Linked DNA regions of Oryctolagus cuniculus. The protein of the gene in region 2 interacts with the protein of the main gene of each other region in a pairwise test. Links are inferred from orthologs where the notes say so. Each region holds a gene or a part of one and is shown on either strand. Other genes may lie near its edges.

Evidence for each region. The genes of interacting proteins can lie anywhere in the genome.
Region 1: the proteins of THAP1 (region 2) and tripartite motif-containing protein 26 interact in binary tests that used the Homo sapiens proteins (3 or more experiments, as listed by UniProt). The two-hybrid records come from large-scale screens. The link is inferred for Oryctolagus cuniculus from reciprocal best matches to the Homo sapiens genes THAP1 and TRIM26.

What each region holds. Positions count from the first base shown.
Region 1 is NC_091436.1:140,249,654-140,253,408, reverse strand, and holds the start of tripartite motif-containing protein 26, read right to left. Parts: upstream 2,290-3,755; 5' UTR 2,132-2,289; intron 1-2,131.
Region 2 is NC_091433.1:92,915,122-92,917,525, forward strand, and holds the end of THAP1 (THAP domain-containing protein 1), read right to left. Parts: intron 2,105-2,404; coding exon 1,730-2,104; 3' UTR 514-1,729; downstream 1-513. UniProt on the Homo sapiens protein: DNA-binding transcription regulator that regulates endothelial cell proliferation and G1/S cell-cycle progression.

The sequences.
Region 1 (3,755 bases), on a different chromosome or scaffold from region 2:
CCAAGCTGAAAGGTGAAATAATCCTTCTTCTTCCCAGGGAGCTCCTCTCAGGATTTAAGCAATAAAACCTGACTACTGCATGTCCTCTGATTCTCCTCCGTTCTCCGCTCTTTCACCACACTCCCTTCCCCGGCCACAAATGCTGTTACCCAGATCTCCCTGAACCTTTCTCTACATACACAACTTTTTTTTTTTGCGGGGGGGGGGGGGGGGACATTAATATTCCATTTCAACCAAGCTGGCAGTTCTAATTCATCCTGGATGTTAGCTAAAGCAAACTTCTCTTTTCAAAAACAACAGTCAGCTTCCAGTCATCCTCCATGTCATCTCCATTCAGATCCTGAGAGCCTGTGTCTCTCAGTCACTCCCCAAAACCTCAATTCTAACCACAGGCTCTTTTCTGAGGGGGGTGGCAGCTAAACTGAGTCCATCCTGTTACTCCTTGGAGGAAGTGGCGTCTACTGCCCCTGGGCCTCAGTTTCCTTGCCTACTAACAAGGAGAAAATGTTTTGCCAAATTTACCAGGCTGTTTGAAGTTCAAGGTGAGGTCGTACAATCGTTAAGTGTTTCAACAGAAAAAGGCTCTAGGAAAACACATGCTAGCATAAGCATAGGAGCCAACCTGAAAAAAACCCCAATGGACTCATCGACAACATTTCGCCTAGCAAAATAAAGCAGTATGGGATTATAACCCATGAGTCCACACTCATATAAATGAGTGAATAAGTTAATAAACACGGAAGAAGGAGACCAATCTCCCACCAGGATAATGCCTAATAATGTATGTGGACACAGCCCTCAAGGAGGAGAGCACAGCTCCTACTCCTAAGGTGGGAGCTGCACACAGTGGCTTCATTCTAAGAGTACAGTATGCAAGAGGGGGGAACCCTTCATTCTTGCATCCAGGTGACCAAGTCCAACATCAAGCCCTAAGTCATGCTGATGGTGTGTACCCCTGATATGACCTGGGGAAAACGGCAAACTGCCTCTGTGGTATTCCTCCTCTACACCTCATGAAGCAAAGTCTTAGGGAAAAAAAATTCAGACAAATTCCATCTACAATCTACATGATCAAACTGTCAAGGTCATCAAAACAAAGTCTGAGAAACTGCCACAACCAAAATGAACATGAGGAGATGCAGAACTGAACATAAAGTGGCAACCTGGACAGGCTCACGAAACAGAAAAAGTGCTTTTTAAGAAAAAAAAAAAAAAAACTAAGGAAATACGAATTCACTGAGGACTCTGGTCAGTAATAATGGTCATTGGTCCATTAATTGCAACAAATGCACCACACTGATGCAAGATGCTGCTAACAGGGGCAAGAGTCGTCGATACTTTATATGGGAACTCTGTACTGTCTTTTCAATTTTCCTAAAATCCAAAAACTGCTATAAAAATAAAGTCAATGTTTAATAAAATACTCTATTTTTAAAAATTGCAATTTGAAGACCATAAAAAATGTCCATTTTTTTCTAAGAGGTAATTTCTTTAAAACTTGGGGGTTAAATATGCTAGGGTTTATGATTTAAGCCAGCAGTTAAACAGAAGGTTCGGGTATGCTTGAACCAATGTCACTCTCCCCTCTCTTCAAACACACACGACTGGTTGCAGTGTCAGACACTGGAACCTACTGGTTATTTGGAAGTGTCTGCCTCTCGCTTACTCCACAAAGTTAAATTCATGCACTTATTTCTAAGGTCAGAGAGAGAATTCGCAGCTCTCAAGCCTATGTGGCTAAACCGGTTTATTCTGACGAAACAGAAAAAGGAAGGAAAGGCAAGAAAACCTGACTCTGACCACGGAGCCGGATTGGCCGCGTCTCTACCCGGCTCCGAGCAACCAGACCGCCATCCGGGCCCCGCTGACTTCTGGCTGTGGGGACTGGAACGCATACGCGCCCACACTGAGCCCTGGGAAGCAGAAAGGCCCGGGAGGGACCCGCAGATGCAGGGGCGGGCGAAGCGGCAGGGCTTGGGCCGGCGGGGAGGTGGCGGCGGGTCCGGCCCGCGCCCCAGCCCGCCGGGCGGCCTGGCCCCGCTCCGCCCCGGGGCCCAGCGGCCGCCCGGCCCTGAGCCGCGCTGGTCAGACCGCCGCCTCGCGGCAGTTCTCATCGGAGGCCGCCACTCACCAGTCCCGAGCTCCGGGTCGCGAATCCGGGGCTGGGGTCGCCTCTCTCCCGCGCCGGTACGTTCGGGGTCCCGCTCCTCCACGAGCCCCCGAGCGAGACAGCTCGTCCCCGCCCCGTAATCTCCCGGCTCTTCGAGGCCTTCCACCGAGATTTTTCCCGAGCGGCCCTGGGATTGGTCGCTGCCGAACTCCGTCTGCCAATGGGCACCTCGGTCTCCCCTACGTCACTGATCACTGGGCAAATCCCCAGGCGGTTGCGGGGGGGTGGAGCGGCAGGACTCGCGAAAAGGAAACCGAAATCCGGCGGGGCGGGGCTGCGCCGGAGCCGCCGCCGGAGTTTGAAGCGGAAGGCCGGTGCCGTTACAGGCTTGGAGGGAGCCAGATTCGGAGGCCTAATGAGACCCCTGCTTGGGACTCTGGGGTGCTAGATTCCCTCCCCTCCTCCCGAGACCCCCAGCTACTCTCGCGATCCCCACCCAGTGCTGGATCCGAGTCGGAGTGCATTTTGAGGTCACGTAACCTTCGCCAGGTGCTTAATATTAAATATCCTCCCACCCCCATCCCCAGAGCGGCCTCAATTTGCTTCCAGAACAAGGTAGCATCTTCGCCAGCGAATAGTCTCTTGGGCCTGTTTACAAAAATTAACCACCTCTGAAGCGCCCGTGACGAATGAGGCGCCTGAGGCAAAATGGCCTGAAGGCAAGCATTGCCCCCATCTGACAGAAAGGAAAGCCGAGGCTCCGAAAGCCTGGGGGGCCTTCCCGCGCCAGAGCGCCCGTGGTGTGTGGGAGGGCGGTTTCCAGGAGGCTCCGCGTCCCCGGCGCCCTCACCGCCTGGCACCGCCCTGACGGTGGCCTCGGCACGTTTTAGAACCTGTTCTGTAGTTGCTGTGGTGGAAGAAAGTGTGTGCTGCTAAGCGGCTCTCCGCCGGTGCTTGCCCCACCTACAGGCCGTTCTGTCACACTGCAGCCGTGGCGCTTCGTTCACCGGGCCTTCCTCCCCTGCCCCGCTTACACTTCTCCGCTGTCTTCCCCACACCCTTAGAGGGACACGGAAGGTGCCCGAAGGGCCCCCGGAAAGCCTGTGGAGGCTCTCTGACTCCCGCCTGCCACCACTCCCTCGGGGAGCTTTGAGCCACCCTGGTCCCAGAGCCTCCTTCTTGTCAGCCATGCACCTGCTCAACTGACCTGTCAGCCCTTCCTCCATCACCCAGTCTACATCAGGCCCCCCGTCGTGTTTTGATTTACTTTCTGCATACAGCTGTCAGCTTTCAAAGCATCTTGTTTATTCCTTTGTGAGCATGTTTATTTTCCATCCTCCTAAGCAGCATGGAAGTTGAAACATCACCCGTGTTCCTTAGCCGTGGTTGTCACTCAATGAATGAATGTTGAGTGAATGAACTCAGCGTGGGCGTTTCTGAATGCTGGCCTCAGCCTTGCTATTCCCTTGCCCAGAACACTATGTCTGGTTGACGCAGCTTCTCGGGTCCAAGTAAGGGCAACAGAAGTGGATGCTGGGAATGCAAGTGACTCCTAAGCTTGCTTTGTGCTCAGAGGCAGCACAGGGTGGTACTCGCCTCTCCAGCTGCTGGTGTTGCAAAACGGTGAAGGTGATCTCAGTTCTTG
Region 2 (2,404 bases):
AATTCCTTATGCTAAATTATGATAAATTATTTAAACGGAAGCAGTTGGTGTGCATGCTGCTTGTTCAGTTCTCTCCAAGTGAAAAATTAAGTCTGTTATGAAAAGAAAGCAGTTCCAGATTAAATAATAAGTCTAAGATGCTAATTATGATTAATACTTTTATATCCTAATCTGGATTCTCAGTTCTGGGGACACACACACACACACACACAATCTTTCATGTAGAAAGACAAAAATTTAGGTTGAAGACAAATACTTGGCAAAGTATCTACCCATGTATCTTCCAGAAATTGCTAGAGAGATGAACAGCTACGAGTTCCATAAATAACCAGTGAACATGCATTCAACTGAGTTAGTTCTAAATGTTGCTAGTAGACTATGTGACTTCACGTAATCTTCTTATCATTATTTCCTATTTTGAGACACTGGTTCCTAAAATATCAGGAATCAAAGTACTATCCATGGCAGTGTGGCAGTGAATTACAATGAAAACGAGGTCTACAAAAGACACAAAATGGTTCCACATTTTAATACTGTCTTGAAAGGTCTGTTACTCTTCAACTACCTCAGTGCATTTATAAAAGTGACAGAGTTGGAATAGTTATTCTAAATCTAAGTAGGTTACTTCTATTAGCAGTATTTGTTTACTCAGAACATATTTCCATTTCAAATATATGTAAAATTTCTCACAAAGTCAGAACACAACTCACAGTCTGAACAGAAACCTCAGTGTTTAAATCTCAACATTCAGCAAATAAACATCATACATGAGGCTGCTTCTGAATACAAATCACTCATTCAGATAAACGGGGTACAATTTCTAACTTGTTAGAAGAAATGATTTTTTTGGTGAAGTTTTGGCTAAAATCAATGTTACTGAAAAATTAATATAAACAAACCAAACTCTAGTACCACATTTGTTAAAGCTTTGGACACAGATATCACCTCAGGAGGGAGCTGGCTGTCCTTTACCTAGGGGTCATTACAGAAACAAGCGTCGTGGTCAGGCCCTAGCTTTTACTACTCACTGACAACAAAGCCTCATTTTGTTTACTGAAGGATTTTTCCTTCACTGAAGACACACTTCTAGCTTAACAGTGGGGAAAAAAGACAGGCCTACTTTAAAAAAATCTGTTCTTCATAAAGTTACTTATTAAGTAGATGTTCATTTTCTGCTGCAAAGACACTCAAGTCTTTTCAAGTACTGACTTGCTGATTTGACAACTGACTCAGAATGGTAAATGAAACCTCCTGACTTCACCTGTAAGAATCTGTGAGTATAGGTATGTATATACTTATATATCTTTTGACGTTATGCCCGTGATCTGATCCTTCTTGATTTAAAATATAACTAAATTTCTCAATAAACAGCATGAATTTTAACTTTTAAACTTAAAACTTACTGCACTGTTCTCATTTTTTTTACTTTTACATTATTTCTATAAATATTCTAGAAAACAAAAATCCCCAATATTGAAACCAACTTACATTGGCAGTTTGAGGCTAGTTTATAACTTCAAAGATATTTTGTTAAAATGTAAAAACCCTGAAATTACAAACAAAAACCTTACAATTTTACAGTATATATCTAATTTATTTTTTTAAAAAAATATTCTGAATTGCTTTTATACAAATAATCAAGTGTTATTTTTTTCAAAGGAAACTCCTTTACAGGCTAAAAGAGGGTGTGTGGTGTTGCCCCATTAAAAACTCAACGCATGTCTCTTGCTCATGCCGGCACTTCCACTATCTCAAAGCAGTCACTTGGCAGAATCACGTAGCCTCTCTCCGACGAGTCGTCTCTCTCCTTCTGGAAGTGCACGACCTCCCTCAGCTTTTCAAGCTGCCGCTCTTGTCTTCTGCATCGCTGCTGTGCCGTCTTGAGCTTCTTCCTGAGTTTCTCGACCTGCTGTTCCAGTTGCTGAATCCTTTTCCTCTGGTGCATCGTGTCCTCCACGGTGTAGTTGTGGTCACAGAAAACCGAGAGGTTGTCAGGGGTCTGCAGAGGAGGCATCAGCAACCCAATAGCAGCATCCATCTGGGAGATGGGCGGTGTTAAAGGAGCTGGAGGCAGCTGCTCCTGTGAGCCCAGCACATCTTCCTTCTAGAACAATGAAGAACAGCATGTCTGAACTTAGTAAATGACAGTGCAAAACAACTCATCTGTGGAAGTTAGGAAATAAGACGTTTTTGTGATTCTGTGGCACAGAAACATCCAAGTAGTTTCCTTCTGAAATAAACTTTCCAACTTAAGGAGAAATGGTAAGCAAGAAAGAGAGAAAATGGTGACACATTTAAATACCAAGCACTTAAAACTAACGAGAAAAAATACTCTGAAACCAAAATGTCACAGATAAAGAAAAATCAAAACTTATCAACAGGTGCCAGGGCTATGGTGCAGTAG